2 linked regions of the Caenorhabditis elegans genome follow. The protein of the gene in region 2 purifies or fractionates together with the protein of the main gene of each other region. This does not show direct contact. Each region holds a gene or a part of one and is shown on either strand. Other genes may lie near its edges.

Region 1 (8,391 bases), on a different chromosome or scaffold from region 2:
TGCAAACCGAACATAGATCACAGTTCGTTGTCTCGAAAACTTATAAAACCACACGGTTGTTTGTGCAATTTTTATTTAATTTTTTAAACGGGTTCTCAAAGAAAAATTGCAGAAAATATAACTTTGATCTACTTTATCGTTCCCGCGAATATTTTTCAAAACATCTTTTCCAAATCTACACTCAACTTACGGATTTTTGTCTTGCAGATTTCCGTTCGCCGTGCCCAAAAATTCGAATTAATTTTGGAAAATGCCAAAACTTCCACGTATCGACTTTTATTTTGACGTGATTTCTCCGTACAGTTATATTGCTTTTGAGGTTGGTTTTTTTTATATACGATATTACATAAAAAACTGTGGTTGTACGCATGTGTCGATGGTTCTCTTATCCTAGGAAGTCAGGAATTTTTTTTGAACAGTGTTACGGTACAATAATATTTTTTAGTTTTAAAATTCGTAAATTTATTATAGTTATAGAAATTATGCAATGATAAATTGCAGGTCTTCCAAAAACTGGAAACCCAATGGAAAGGAGTAACAATCCGTTACATTCCATTTTTCCTCGGAGCCGTCATGAAAGAATCAGGAAATCGTCCTCCAGCAATGCTCCCAGCTCGATCAATTATGATGATGACTGATTTGAAGCGAACTGCAAAGTTCTGGGATATTCCATTGACTCCACCACCATTGTTCATGGAATGGATCAAAAAGTACCGTACTACTGGAGCAATGAAGGTTTTGTTGGTTTTGCAGGAGCAGGATAAGGAGCTGATGCTCCGAGCAGCTCGGGAAATGTGGGTCAGATTGTGGTCTCGAAGTGAGAAGATTTTTGAGGATCAAGACTTTGTGGAAGTATTGAAGGCAGTTGGTGTTAAGAATCCGGAGCAAATTGTGGAAAAGAGCAAGGATGAGAAATATATAAAGATTTTGATGGAGAATACGAATAAGGGAGTTGATTTGATGGTAAGTTATTCATCTTTGAATTAAAAAAAATTGGCAATTTTACTTTTTCAGGCATATGGTGCTCCATGGATCAATGTGCACACAGAAGATGGATCGGAGCATTCATTCTTTGGATCAGACCGTTTCCATTTGATTGCCGACCTTCTTCAACAGCCACAACCGCTTCCAGACCGACTTTTTGGCCAGAAATCAAAACTTTAAATATTTGTTGTAAGATAAGATGCGCTAAATATATGAATAAATTGGGTAAATATTTTTAATTAACTCTCTCTGAAACAGTCTGACAATCGACATAATCATAGATTCAAAAACTACAAAGAAAAATTCCAAAAAGATTTGAATCTAAAATCTTTTAGTTGGCTGCACTCTAGGTTACTTTTCAATTTTACGAACTGTAAAATATTCCAGAAAATTAATTATATGTTCAAAGTTTTATTCAAATTACATCTGCACTGTTAGTTGTGGGAAAAACCCAAAAAATCACAAATCAGTTGGCCTTGATCAATCCGGCGAACACTTGATACAAACCCCAGGTTCCATCCGGCATTTGCTGAAAGTAGAAAAGCTTTATCTACTTTAGATAATAAAAGTGTACCTTTTGGGCAAACTTCTCGCAGTAGTTCATATCTTGCTTGACATTGTCGGTTCCAATGACGCTTGGTGGAACTCCCATCTTAAATGGATAGGGTTAAAGTTCGGATTTGAATTTTTGGATTTTATCAGCAGTGAGCCAATTCTGATTCTGATATGACTTACATCATAGATGACATAAGCCCATCCTGGCTTATTGATATAGAAGTTGAGAGCCTCTGACATGGTTTCGATGTCATTGTAAGTCTTAACAACCGTATCGATTGTTGCAGAAACAGTGTCGTCGATGCAGAAATCTGAAAACAAATGAATTTCAGGTTTACTCTAGAAAAAGAGGAGCTCACTGAAATCATCATCATCGCGCTTGGTTGGAGTGCCGCTGATCAGCTCAGCATGAACCTTGACTCCAGATTTACGGGTGTAGTGACGGCGAACATTGTAGGTTGCTGAAATATATGAAAATGAGTTAGATAAAGTTCCACATATTTTATTTCAATTATATTTTTCAAAACTAGGAAGTGGCTTTCAATATTTTTTGAACGCTAACTTACGAACTGCAGTTGACTGATTGGCAAATTGGAAACGTGCAGCAACCTTGACGGATTTGCGGTCAGCACAGTGAGTGATGCACCAATTTGGTCTGAAAAGTAGAAATGGATTTTTTCATCTGGATTTGAATAATTAAATTTAAAATTATTGATTAAAAGGATAAAACAATTCTAGATCAGACACTCTGACTTTACATGAATTCTTAATTTAATCTTGAAAAGGAATATACTAACCTCACAAAATCCAATCCAGAGGATCGGAAATCTTGAATTGGAACTGCATCCTGTGTGGATTCATCTCCAACTGGAGTATAATTGCACAAATTTCCTCCTGGAGCAGAAGTTTGTTGAGCAAAAATTGCTGGAACTGCTAAGCAGGCAAGGAGAAGAAGCTTCATTTTCCTAAAAACTCTCGATAAAAATGAAAAGGAAACTATACTCAAAAACGTTTCAAAGCGAGTAGCAAATGGTCAAATTATCGGAAGTTATCAGTTAAAAACTGAAATTTTCCACATCACCGGCCTCCTCTTTTGCCAGTTGAATGTGTTGATAACGGAAAATAAAGAGTGGAAAATTAAATATTGAAAAATCACTAATGATTTCATTTTGAGAATAATAAGAATCAAATATTCAATGTAAAACTTTAAATAGTTAAATCGTTTATTAAAAATTAAAAGAAAAAAATCAATTAGCCTTGATAAGTCCTGCGAATACTTGATATGTCATGTAGGTTCCATCCGGCATTTGCTGAAAAATTTGTAAAATTTGGTGAGGTCTAATTTCTAATTCGGATACTTGCAGGTCTGGTTTTGTTGCATTTTACAACATTTTCTGAGTACTTACCTTGTTAGAAGACTTCTCACAGTAGTTCATATCGTGTTTGACATTGTCAGTCTCAATGATGCTTGGTGGTACTCCCATCTGAATATATGTATTCAAGTAGAAATAGTAGACACCTATATATTTTCCAAAAAAAAACTTGTGTAACTTACATCGTAAATAATATACGCCCATCCTGGCTTGTTGATATAGAAGTTGAGGGCTTCTGACATGGTTTCGATGTCATTGTAGGTGTTGACAATAGTATCAATCTGGGCCGACACAGCATCGTCCATACAGAAGTCTGAAATTTTGACATGTATTTATACCATAAGATGAAATCACTTACTAAAAGGATCATCGTCACGCTTGGTCGGGTTTCCGCTGATCAGCTCAGCATGAACCTTCATTCCTGAATAACGGGTGAAAGTACGGCGAACTTTGTAGGTTGCTGAAAATTCCCATTAAATTCTAGGATGTTTACTGGTATTTTCATAATGTTCCAAATGTTTTTACATGTACTTTAGTGTACTGATCTATGTTAACTTACGGACTGCAGTTGACTGATTGGCAAATTGGAAGCGAACAGCAGCTTTGACAGATTTGCGGTCAGCACAGTGGGTGATGCACCAATTTGGTCTGAAACTTTTTAAATTAAGATATTCGGCTATTTATGTGGTTCAAAAATTGGTAATCGTTTAGTATCCCACTGTTGCCAAAGTATTTTTCTGGGTCTAACTAGTAAGACCATCAAGAGTTGGCTCAACATAACTTGGCCGCGGCCTAAACCAATCATTACTAAAGCTGTTCCAATTTTTGAACATAAACTGACCTAACGAAATCTAATCCAGACGTTCTGAAGTCCTGAATAGGAACAGCCTTTTGGTTTGATTCATCTCCTTGTGGAGGATAAGTACACAAATTTCCACCTGGAGCAGACGTCTGTTGAGCTAAGATTGCAGGAACTGCCAAACAAGCAATAAGAAGAAACTTCATTCTCCTGAAAATATAAATATATGCTTCAAAAAATTTAAGTAGCAAATGGTCAAATTAGTATGAATTGTGGAGAGAGTTATCAGTCTAAAACTGACGTTTTTTAAATTATGAGCGTTTTCTTTTGACATTCAGTTATAGTGATAAGAATATTAAATAGAAAAATGGGAAAGCACTAATGATATCACTGGAAAAGTTAAAGGACAAGTTGTTTACAGATAAGTTTATGAGCATTGATTCCGGGGAGCCAGCAGCTTAACAAAACTGATTTCTTGATCCAATATTGCTCACAATCAGATGATTCAAAAGTTTATGCGAGTAAAATTAGTAGAAATACCAAATTAGTCTGATATGTTTTTCAAAATTGTTCTTCAATTAAAGGATAGACGAGTTTCTCAGAAAATAGGCTGAACATTTTCAGACTCTAAAAAGCAAGAAAGTTTTATTTGAAAGCTTTTTCGATGACTAAAATACAAACAAAGAGGGTCGAAAATTATTGAGTTCATATCCTTTGCTTCAAATGCATCCAAACAGTTTCCGGTTGAGTCGTGGCTCTTCCAACTAATTTCAATGGGATTTCTGTCTTGGTGCCAACTTCAAATGTATATTTTCTAAGAATATGAGCCAAGAGCATCTTTTCCTCCATATAAGCCAATCGCATTCCAACGCACTGACGAGGTCCTAATCCGAATGAAATATATCCTCCTTTTTGGAAAACTTGGTCACAGTTGGGGTCAAGCCATCTGAAATAATAACTAGTAGGATCTCTTACTAAATAATTTAAAAGGTGGAATACTCTCCAAAGTGATTCGCTTTTTAAAACTTTCAAAAATTAAGCCAATAATACATCTGAATATATTTTTTAATTTTGAAAAAAAAACCTTTCTGGCTTGAACTCCTTCGCATCATCTCCCCAAATCTTTGTATCAGTATGAAGACTCCAAGTATCTACTTGAACCATTGTTCCAACTTCAACTTCTACATTTCCCAATTTAGTGGCTCTCATGCATCTCCGAGAGTTCGCCCTGGAATAATTGTTTTTTTATGTGAAGTATAAATTTAAAACTCCTACATTGTTCCCAAAGGGTACAAACGTAAAGTCTCTTTGATAATACAATCCATGTATTTTAGTTTTGAGAGATGATCAAATGAAATTGATGGTTCTATGCATTCTCGTTCTATTTCTTCTTGTAATTTCTTTTGAACTTCTGGATGTGTTGCTAGGAGAAATGTAGTATAGGATAAGGATAGAGCAGTTGTATCGAAGCCAGCAATCAAAAAAACGAGACACTGACCGACTATTTCTTGAGTTGTTAGTTGACGGTTTCCCTGCAATTTTTTAAATTCAGGAATAATTTTTCTCCTGAAACTCACATAGCTACTAGTCTTTGAAAAATCCCCATTATTCTCTTGAAAATGCTCCACATCATCTGCTCTTGCTTCCAAAAATAAATCGATAAAATCCTGTGGCTCTCCGATTTCAATTCCATTTTTTCTATCATTCTCCCTCTGATCTATACGATTTTGAACGGCTGTCACAACAGTTTTGTTGACGTGAATGAAATTGGCTGCTCCCAACAATGGAAATTTCAACATAAAAAATCGAAAAACTTGAGCAAGAGTAGGAAAAACTCCACCGATGAGGGGAATATGCTTTCGATTATCTCCGAATATCTGGAAATATATGTTGAATTTCACTGGTAATAGTACCAAAACGAACCGCTCTGACAAACTTCAAAAGTGGATTTTTGAACATTTGCGAGTCGGTCTGACCCATTGCAATTCGTCCTATAGTATCCATTGTGAACTCTTGGTAGAATCTGTAATTTAAAATTTAAATTACTTTTCCAATACATCGAAAACTCACTGTAACATATCAATTTGTTGTCCCTCCGAAGTTTGTTCTTCAATATGTCTCAATAATTCCATCGCACTGTCTTCCACAGTTACATTGATTTTTCTCAAACTGTTATTCGAAAAAGTAGGACTAGATATAGCTCTGAGCCTTTTCCATCTAAATCCTTGAGCCGAGAACAAGTTAGTTCTCTCGTCTTTTTCCGGATCACCTTGAATTGGATTCAGTTTTCTACCATAGAAGTTGTCATACTGCTCAACAAAAATTTGACGAACAATGTCGATATCAGAAACAATTAGAGTTTTAATGGTTCCTTCAGTGTATCCATATATTGGACCATAAAGTTTTGTCCAATCTCTGATTTGTAAGTATTGAGGATATTCTGATTTGAGAGTTTTTGGAAAACTTCCAACTAATGGATAACCTAGAGGTCCAGGGATACCACGCCGTCTCCAATATGTCCATATCCAGAGGTAGTAACTTAAATAAATATATTTAGCTTTGAGAAATAAATAAAAAATACCTGATAAAACCAATGAACAAAGTTGGAATAGCAAGTAAAATAACACTCATTTAGTTGTATTTTCTTGTAAACGAAGTCTGTATATTTTAAACAAATATTTCCAAAAATAAAATTTGTTTTTATATTTACAAGAAATCGGACACAAAAACGGCAACTATCTGACACACTTTTTGTGTCTCCGTCTCGACGATTTTGTGACTCCTTGCGCAGAATCAGTGAGTAATTGGATTACAATGATGATATCAAGACCACTAACTCTAGTCTATCCTGTAGCCAGTTTCTGGAGTTTGGTCTGCAGATTTGAAGAAATCACCGATTAACTTAATTTAGTTTAGCAACTCTGGAAGTAACATTGCCAGGCATTTTTGTGGGCAAGGCTTTGTGTCATATTGCGCAAGAAAGTCAAATCTAGTGGAAACCAGAAAAAATCAAGTATTTTTGATAAAATAACAAGCACATCTTACAATAAGTCAGCAAATTTTCAAACGTACTTTCATATGTATATAAAAATGTGGTTGAAATGACTAGATATTAATGTATTCCTAACCCGAAAGTTTTACCTAACCCTGCTGTTGATATTTAACACAAATTGTGCTCTGATCTGTTTCAATTATTTGATTAACTTTGCTATTTTGTTATGATAGATGGCCAATAACCAACTTTTTGTTATTCATTCACGAGATCTAGTCAGACATTTATATAGACATGTCTCACTATCATATGGTACAGGAATGTATAGACAGGAAAAACTTAAACTCAAAAAGATAACATTTATTAGAATTGCCGATGAACGAATAATTAAAATACATAGTATCTATATGTTGATCACCCAACAGATCCCATCGATGGTACCGAACTTTTAGGCCTCGTGTGGAACATCATCATACCCGAAGCTCCACCACTGCCCATTGAAGCTGTACTTTGCTTAGCTAGACTTCCGGAAGACGTAATTGAATTAGGATCTTTGGATATAGAAGCCATTCGACCTCCACTGGGAGGTCTTGGAGCACCTCCTCCGCCCATTCCCATCATTGCGAGGCTTGCAGCACCAGCGCCACCCTGAGAGGTATCCACGTCACTGAGAATTCCGATCATTTTCAAGTTGGCAATGATGGATTCTTGTGATTCTCGTGTTGCAATGACCTTGACTTTGGACTCTTTATGCAGATTTCTGGCTTTTCGACAGAGAATGAAGTTTCCGAAATAGTCGATTCGGAGATTTTTGTTGTTAGCGATTAGTGATAATGGGTAAACAATTGGAAGAAAGCATCGAGCATTGATGTACATCATATCAAGCGTGGAATCTTCTGAAAGAAGTTTAGTTTTCAGACTATTCTGATCTTTATTTCATATTAAACTCACCTAGATTTATAAATCTCTTGACAATTACATGCAAGATGAAGTCGGCCAAACAAGCGATGTACAGCATGATGTAGGAATTTTTGAAAAACGTCATTTGTCCACTGAGATTTTGGATCTAAAATTGATGTCAAATGTAAAACTAGAATATAAATCCTCAAAAAACTCACTTTCTGGTCATTTCTCATTCCACCGAGTAGGCAGGCACGAGTGTGAGAACCTTTTGCCGATTTGAACATGAGAACCGAGATCTGAAATTCAAAATAATAATTATAATATGTTTATTTAAGTTTTGTTGAAATTGCGTCACATGCGTGAGACTTTTTCTAAGGGAACTAAACATAGGATTTTTATTTTCTGTTGAATATATAAACTAGCCAAAACAGGATACTTACTATAATACATGGCAAAAACAATATTCCGTGATAGAAGTCGTAGTATACATTCGCGATGAGTGAACTTTTGATTGAAATTTCATCATTTGAAGATTGAAGAACTTCAAGTCCAGCAGCTTCTTTGAGTTGATCATCACTATTCAAATAGATTCCTCGAATAATCATCTCCATAATTACGGAGACCACTACTTCGATGACCTATAAAAGGTATTTAGTATTTGTATTTAATATTTATTGTAATAAAAATATTGATACCCACCCGGAAAACTGCCACATATCGAAACTTGGGACTTTCTCGAATCGTTGGACTCCGATTGTACGTTATCCGTTCAACAGTTGTCCAAA
Region 2 (8,563 bases):
CAACATTTTTGTCGCAGTCACCGAGGACCTAGGATTTCCTCATCCTCCCTGGCTCAATCGGTAACTGCTTGGGCCGGGGGGCCGATTGAAACTCGAATTTTCCAGTTTTTACAGCTTTTTAAAAATAAAAACTGAAAAATTCGAAAATTGCCCAGTTGCCGAGTTACCGTACCCAAATTTATGGCATTCCTCTCTGGAAAATTTTATTTTTCAATATTTTTGTCGAAATATTCAGATTTTAATAAATCCTTTGGCCTAAAAATTTGAGAAATGGCACAAGCCGAGTTTTCGCTGATTTTTGAAGAAAAAATCAAAAAAGGATTTTCAGCATAAAAACTAACGGCGATCGACTTTTCGACGAATATTCTCGAAATTCCGAATCATGAATCGTAAAATACGGTCGAAAATCGTTGACAATCCTCAGAGGTGACAGTAATCCAACGATTGACTGAACTAAAGCAGAAGTGATGGATGGCGTCGGAGCAACGATGAGAAGGGGCTCGCCGAGCAGTACAAGCTCCCAGAGCAGTGGCAAATGATGGACGTGCTGTACAATTGATGTAGTGAAATCTGGACGGACAAGGCGTTGAGAATCATCGTCTGATAGCTGAAATAGTAGCAAAAATTTGAGTGGTTTTGGAGGGAAAAATTGTGGGAAAATCGATTTTTTTTTTGTATTTTAATACGAGTTTTGAAAATTTTTGACACATTACACTACAAAAATTTTGCTGAAGATTTTTCGATTTTCGATATTGTGGATTTTTTTAGAGAATTTCTGAGATTTTTCGAAATAATTTTAGAAAACTCTAAACATTTCTGGAATTTTCAAAGATTTTCTAAAATTTTCGTTAATTTTGAGCTTTTGTCTGATTTTTTTTGCAAAAAACTTCTAGAATTTTCGGTGTTTTACAACAACAAAAAATATGGGGATTTTTAAAGACTTTTTGAAAAAAGTTTAGGAAACTAATAAAATTATAGGTTTTTGAAGGATTTTCTCAAATTTTTTCAAAAAATTTTTGAAAATTTTCTGAAAAATTTTGGATTTCTCGAGATTTCAAATTTTTTTTTTAATTTTTTGAAAAATTTTGTGATTTTTTTGGAATTTTTCGAAAATTTCTAGAATTAAAGCTCTTAAATTTTTGAGTTTTTTTTCTGAAATTTTCACAATTGCCCGATAGTTTTGGGGGTTTTTGCGATTTTTTTGTCCAAATTTTGATAATATTTCGAATTTTCAGAAATTTACGCAATTTCTAGTGAATTTCTCTAAATTTTCTGATAAATTTTGGATTTTTTGAGATTTTTAGTGAATTTATAATACACTTCTTTTTGGATAATATTTTAGATTTTTCAGTTTTGTTTTTTTAATTTCTGAAAATTTTTGTAATAAATTATCTCCAATTTTTCGTTAATTTTCAGCATATTTTCTGATTTTTTGAAGAAATTTTCTTTTTCGAAAACTTATAGAATTAAAATTCTGAAATTTTTGTGATTTTCTTAAATTTAAAAAAAAATTCAAAGATTCTGGAACATCATTGGAATATTCTTCAAAAAATATCTAGAAATAAGAATTTTTCGGCTAAAAATTTCACAATTCTCTATTTATTTCAATTTTCTGATAGATTCCGGACATTTTTTCAGACCAAAAATGTTCAATTTTTCGAGTTTTTTTTTTCCAATTTTTTCCAATTTTAGCTACCTCAACATGTCCATCAAGCCGGAATTCATATGGTAGATCACAGGCGGCCGGTAGGCGGCAACTGATTAAAGTACCGAGCAACGGTAACTCAATAGTCCGACCAGCGTGCGGCTGTTGCCACGTGTCAATGTGATGGCAGGCTGGAAAATTTCAGAAAATTTTAGTTTTTTTTTCCAATTTCAGGTGGCGGCTACCTGCTTCAATTGCTGCTTCTCCACTTTCAAAAAAATGCTCAGCGATGCGGGCGGTAACTGAGTAGAACAAGGAAAACAGTGGGAGCACTGACATTAGGACGATGCTCTGGAAATAGAAAATTAGCTAAAAAAAAAAAGGAATGGATTTTCAGCCAAGTTTTCAGGCTGAGAAATGGAAAATTTGGGCATAGCTTCCGCATCTCTAGTGACAAATGTGCTCTATTGCACAAATTGTTGGTTGGAATACGGTATTTATTGCATATTTCAGCCGAGAATACCACTATTCAAACCATCAATTCGGATAGAGAAACACACAAGTCACAGACAATATATAGGGAAATTCAGTTCAGTTGCCGTTCAATTTTGACCTACTTTGCGCAAAGTCTGAAAAAGTTGGGTCTCGCCACGAAAAAAAAAACTATTCGAATTTCCTATAAAAAAAACAAAAAATACAAATTTTTTGATTTTCATGGGAAAAACATCGAAAAATTCAAAAATTTGCCGTTTTTTCCGTAAAAAACGGATTTTTTACCTGGAAAAAGCCACAAAAAATTCCGAAAAACAAGCGGAAAAGCTAAAAATTCTAATTTTCAGCAGGATTTTGATTAAAAATTAGAACAATCCAAGAAACCACTAGGTTTTCAACAAAAAATTGGAAATTGAGCAGAATTTTTCAGTTTTTACAGCTTAAAAAAAAAACATCATAAATTCCGAGTTACCGTACCCAAATTTATAGCTTTCCTCGGAAACTGGGATTTAAAAAAAACAGAAAATTGTCAGAAAAAAGGGTTTTTATGGGTTTTTTTTTCAAATTTTATAATAAATTTTAATGTCGAAATTTCCAAATTTTCTACTTTACACCCGAAAACAGCCAAATTTCCGCGCTAAATGAAAATTTGGGCATAGCTTCCGCATCCCCGGTGACAAATGTGCTCTATTGCACCGAATTGTTGGTTGGAAAACGGTATTTATTGCATATTTCAGCCGAGAATACCACTATTCAAACCATCAATTCGGATAGAAAAACACACAAGTCACAGACAATATTGTTTTCGAGTTACCGTATAACTTTGACCTACTTTGCGCAAAGTCTGAAAAAATTGGGTCCCACCACGAAAACCTGTGGGTTACTGTAGAATTTTGTGACGAGACCCAATTTTGTTTAAAATTTGCGTAAAATACGCCATATTTATACTTAAATTGAAGCTCTCATCTAGATTAATAAGAAAATGCCAGTAAAACTGAAAAAAACGTCTTAAAAGCTTAATAATTCCAATTTTTCTGGGAAAGGTCATAAAATTGTGACAATTTGTCGAATTTCCTTTTTAAAAAATTGAAAAGCCTAAAATTTTCCATTTTTCTGGAAAAAAAGCCGACAATCCATAGTTTTACCCTTTTTTTGGCAAAAGACGAACATTTAAAAAATTCCGTTTTTTCCAAAAAAAAGGGGAAAATACTAAAAATTGTTCCATTTTTCCGGAAAAAAGTGAATTTTAGCGGGGAAAAACTCGAATTTTCACTCAAATTTTCGCCAATTTTATTGCGTTCCGGTTATGAACCTTCTGATAATATCCTCGATGAATTGTCGGGTCTTTGCATTGCCGAAAATGCACAAAACCGTATAAATAGTGTGTATCAAAGGGTAGAGACGTCGGAGATTTGTCGACAAACGACTTTTGGCAGTCTCTGACGTCACTGATTGCTCTGAAAATTTTTAATTTTGAGTATTTGCATTGAATTCAGCTCACTTAAAGCTTCAAAATGAGTATAAACATGACCTAGTTTGCTGAAATTTGAAAAAAGTTGGGTCCCGCCACGAAAACCCAATTTTCTTCAAAATTCAGCAAAGTAGGTCATAATTATACTTAAATCAAAGCTCTCGGTGAGCTGAACACGGAAATCACTCGCAAATTTTCAGATTTCAGCCAAAAAAATTTTTTCTCAAAATTTGAAAAAAAAATATTTTTTTCCGAAATTTTTAATCTCAAAAAATCACCTGCGTATCCTGAAATGAAAATTTGTGTCTCGTGCATTACTGGAATTCGAGTCTGGAAATGCCAAATAGCAGATATTGATTTTTTCAGTGTTCGATAGAATTGCGTCTCCTGGGTAGATTACCTGAAAAAACCAGATTTTTTTTTTGTCAAAATCGTGCTCAGCTCGTCGAGAGCTTTGATTTGAGTATAATCACATTAATCATTTTAAAAAATGCGAAAATTTCCGGGTCTCGCAGCGAAAAGTCAGAAAATCCGGGATTTTTTGATTTTTCTGCATTTTTTTTTCAGTTTTTCTGCAAATCCTCACTTCCAACGCCTGTCCAAGCTCCAAATCAAACGTGACCACACAAATGCAGTGAAGCCAGTCGCGAAACCGGTCCCATGGCTCAATATCCGGCTCCATTCTGAAAATTTTCAAGATTCCAGGTTTTCTGTGCTTTTTAGGTGGATTTTCAAGATTTTTAGGGTAAAAATGGTGAGAAAATCGATAAATTAGCTGATTTTCAGCGAAAAAAACTGGAAAATTCATGAAAAACGGCGCAAAATCGGCAAAAACGAACAAAGAAACCGGTTCCGTCTCTCTCGTCATCTCGCGCACTCCACGGAATGCGTGCTCTCTCGGTGGTGCGATGGAGCGCACTTGCATTGTTTTGGTTTTAACCGATTTTCAGGGGATTTTCGGGGGATTTTCAGCCGAATCCGAAAGTTTAAGCAAGATTTGAAATCAGATAGATTATACCAAACAAATGAATTTCACGAATAATTCAAATTGAATGTCTATTTAAATATGTGCTAACTACGGTAAGCGAAAAAGTACGCATTGCATACAATACACTTTAATTGACGCGCAAATGTTTTTTCTGTTAAAAAAAAATGTTTTCAAGCTTAATTTAGATATTTTTAACGAAAATTGTCGTTAAAATTAAGCAAATGGTTTGTTTAAACGATTATAACACAATGTTTAGAATAAAATAATCGAAAAATCTAATTATTTTTGTATTTTCCACTCGAGACCCAAAAAATTCCAAAATTGTTGAATATTTACCACAATTTTCATCCTAAGTCGCGAGTTTCTCACCAGAAAAGTTGTCTTTATCAGCGAAATTAACCTGGAAATTCAAATTTTTGAAGTTTTACACTCGAGACCCAGAAAATTTCCGGAATTTGTGTATTTTCCATGTTTTCGAATTCTTTGTGAAATTCACTTCAAATTGAATTCTTTCCATTGAAAACCTACAATTTCCAGCAAAAAATAACCGGAAATTTCAAAATTTCCAAGTTTTCCACTCGAGACCCACCGCTGGATTACTGTAACTTCATTATTACGTGTGCCAACTTTATTTCAACGTTTTACAATCGAAAAATGAGGGGGTTCTCACCCAAAAAATTACAATAAATTAGATAAAATGATCGAATGCCATGATGAAAAATTTCAAAAAAATGCCAAAACTCGTTGCCGGGGGGTGAAAAAAAATCTTAAAGGGACAGGAAAATTTGGAGAATCTGTGAAAAAGTGAGAAAAATAAGAAATTGATAGTTTTTTTTGGGATTAAATAGTGAGAAAATAGGGAAAAAAGTAAAAAATGTAGAAAAAATATCAAAAAATTCTGCGAAAACTGGAAAAATCTCCAAATTTGCAAATAAAAGTCGAAAAATTTCGAATTTTTTCAAAAAAAAAATTAAATTCATATTTTTGGAAATTTTTATTTGAAAAATTCGAATTTTTTGGAAAAAAAATCGGAAAATTTAAAATATTCAATTTTTTTGGGAAAAAATTCCGAAAATTTAAATTTTTAATTTAAAAAACCGATTTTTCAACATTTCAACTGCATTTTAGGACACTTTTCACAATAAAAATGATACACTTTCAAAAAAAAAAGAAGATTTTTCAGTGTATTCCGAAATAAATCACATAAAATTGAGTTCAGAAATGAGCTCATCAAGATCATCCAACTTTCTTGGGTTATGAGTCTCAATGTATCCACGTGCATGACGGAAGAATTGGCTCAAATGCTCGTGAAGCTGCTCGGCAGACGTGTAAACGTCCAAATCTTGCTCAATATCCGGCAGAGAGCGATTCTCGTGTTGAGCGTTACGTGTCGAACGGGATTGGCCGGGAATTTGTTGCAGGGTCTTGTAGAGTCGAGGATTGGCACGTTCGATCGAGTTGAACAGCTCCAGCACTTCCTGAAAATTTGGAAAAATTGATTTTCTGGAAAAATTCTCAAGTTTTTAACAAAAAATTGAAAAATTGGGCATAGCTTCCGCATCCCCGGTGACAAATGTGCTCTATTGCACAAATTGTTAGTTGGAATACGGTATTTATTGCATGTTTCAGCCGAGAATACCACTATTCAAACCATCAATTCGGATAGAGAAACACACAAGTCACAGACAATATACAGGGAAATTTAGTTCAGTATAACTTTGTCCTACTTTGCGCAATGTCTAAAAAATTGGGTCCCGCCACGAAAACCTGTGGGTTACTGTAGGTTTTTGTTAGACCTAATTTTTTTTCAAAGTAGCGGAAAAATTACGGAAAAATTGATTTTCTGGACAAATTGAATGAAAATTCACAAGTTTTTGCTCAAAAAAAAGGAACATTTGGAAATACATATATTTTCGAGAAATTGTCTAAATTTTATTGGCTGAAAATTTCTAATTTTAGACGAATCTTCCAAAAAATCCAAACATTTTCAATTTTTTCCGGAAATAAAGTCGAAAAATCTATTTTTTGTCAATTTCTTCCGTAACAAATCAGTTTTTTTTTGCCAATTTTTCTCTGAAAAAAAGGGTGAGAAAAAAAATTGTTTAATATTTCCGGAAAAAAACTGAAAAATCCAAAATTTTTGAATTTTTTTCATAAAAAGTCGGGAAAACTCAGAAATTTTCCAATTTTTTCCGGCAAAAAAAAAAATGGAAAGAACCAAAAATTGATTTTTTTTAAGTCTAAAATCCTATATTTTCCGTTTTTTCATTTGTTTTTCCAAAATCAAAAAATTTCCAATTTTTTGGTAAAACAGTTAGAAAACCCAAAAATTGACCTTTTTTCCGGAAAAGAAAAATGGAAAGAACCAAAAATTGTTCAATTTTTTTTCGGAAAAAAGTCGAAAATTCTATATTTTCCGTCGTTTTTTCCTTTGTTTTTCTAAAATCCATAATTTTTCCAATTTTTTTGGGAAAAAATCCAGTAAAACCCAGTTTTTCGCAAAACTCACAAAATTTTGCTCAACAAATGGAAAATTTGGGAATAGATATTTTCGAAAAATTTCTAATTTTAGACGAATCTTCCAAAATTCAAAAATATTCCAATTTTTTCTGAAAAAAAGTCGAAAAATCCATAATTTTTTCAATTTCTTCGGTAGCAAATCAGTTTTTTTTCCAATTTTTCTCTGGAAAAGAGGGTGAAAAAACTAAAAATTGGTCAATTTTTCCGGAAAAAAAAATCGAAAAATCCAGAAATTTTCCAATATATTCGTAAAAATCGGAAAAGAACCATAATTTTTTGAATTTTTTTTCCATAAAAAGTCGGAAAAGACCTAAAATGTTCCGTTTTTTTCGGAAAAAATCGGAAAAATCCATAATTTTTCCAATTTTCGTCGGAAAAAATCCGGCAAACCCCAAATTTTTGCTCTTTCTCCGGAAAAAAACTGAAAAATCCAAAATTTTTGAATTTTTTTCATAAAAAGTCGGGAAAACCCAGAAATTTTCCAATTTTTTCCTGAAAAAAAAGGAAAGAACCAAAAATTGACTTTTTTCGGAAAAAAAAAGTCGAAAATCCTATATTTTCCGTTTTTTCCTTTGTTTTTCCAAAATCCAAAAAATTTCCAATATATTCGTAAAAATCGGAAAAGAACCATAATTTTTTGAATTTTTTTCCATAAAAAGTCGGAAAAGTCCTAAATTGTTCAATCAATTTTTTTCGGAAAAAAGTTGTCGAAAGTTCTATATTTTCCGTTTTTTCCTTTGTTTTTCTAAAATCCATAATTTTTCCAATTTTTTTGGGAAAAAATCCAGTAAAACCCAGTTTTTCGCCAGAATTTCCATCCAATTTTCACCCTTACCGGCACAACAACGGTCTTCTGCCGCTTCGGCGGTGGCGGGGCAGGCGTCTGCCTCAGCACTCCCTCAAATTCAAGCACATCTCGCATTGCAGCGTTGGCCTTTCGTTTAGCAGATCTTCCTCGAGTCTCTTCTTCAACAATATCCTCCTCATCCTCATCGTCAGATTCACCACTTCCATGATGATCTTCTTCATCCCCTCCACCTTCTTCCTTCTGTCGAAGATCCTCCTTAGCTTCCGATAGTTGCCTTCTACGATCTTCCTTAGTACACTTTGCACACCACCATCCCTCCTTGAAGCCTTCCTCTTCGAAAAGAGCTCGACTAATCGTTGGACGATGACAACCGTAATGGAATACTGTAGAACACTGCTTACACATCAGCTTCCTCTCGGTTCCAGTCTTCCGGCGGCACACTTGACATGAAAGTTCTGGAAGTGTACGTTGTTGGTCGATTCGGGCATCAAAATAGGCTAGAAGCATGTGAAGACAGGATGCATTTGAAGCTTCCTGTACACGACGGCAGAAACGTGGCATTTTTAGATGGGAGAAGCACTCTGGAAAATGCAAAAAAAAAGTTAAATTTTGACTTTGAAAATCTAGTTATTTTCCGAA

What was found.
Region 1: the proteins of F53H1.3 (region 2) and ZK1320.3 fractionate together in Caenorhabditis elegans (co-fractionation; one large-scale study listed by BioGRID). This does not show direct contact.

The regions. Positions count from the first base shown.
Region 1 is NC_003280.10:9,656,499-9,664,889, forward strand, and holds ZK1320.3 (uncharacterized protein), read right to left. Parts: upstream 3,922-8,391; 5' UTR 3,918-3,921; coding exon 3,754-3,917; intron 3,561-3,753; coding exon 3,472-3,560; intron 3,373-3,471; coding exon 3,271-3,372; intron 3,226-3,270; coding exon 3,095-3,225; intron 3,024-3,094; coding exon 2,946-3,023; intron 2,850-2,945; coding exon 2,787-2,849; 3' UTR 2,748-2,786; downstream 1-2,747. Other genes in the region: gstk-1 (Glutathione S-transferase kappa 1), read left to right, coding at 251-319, 502-963, 1,015-1,164; ZK1320.2 (uncharacterized protein), read right to left, coding at 1,451-1,513, 1,559-1,636, 1,720-1,850, 1,899-2,000, 2,106-2,194, 2,337-2,500; cyp-13A10 (Putative cytochrome P450 CYP13A10), read right to left, coding at 4,417-4,657, 4,796-4,939, 4,987-5,243, 5,289-5,588, 5,635-5,734, 5,782-6,249, 6,293-6,342; ZK1320.5 (uncharacterized protein), read right to left, coding at 7,118-7,599, 7,655-7,769, 7,822-7,902, 8,047-8,244, 8,306-8,391.
Region 2 is NC_003282.8:1,324,890-1,333,452, reverse strand, and holds the start of F53H1.3 (UDENN domain-containing protein), read right to left. Parts: upstream 4,292-8,563; 5' UTR 4,291-4,291; coding exon 4,195-4,290; intron 4,009-4,194; coding exon 3,887-4,008; intron 3,595-3,886; coding exon 3,450-3,594; intron 1,997-3,449; coding exon 1,891-1,996; intron 1,837-1,890; coding exon 1,697-1,836; intron 608-1,696; coding exon 342-607; intron 1-341. Other genes in the region: F53H1.4 (PHD-type domain-containing protein), read right to left, coding at 5,796-6,074, 7,952-8,505.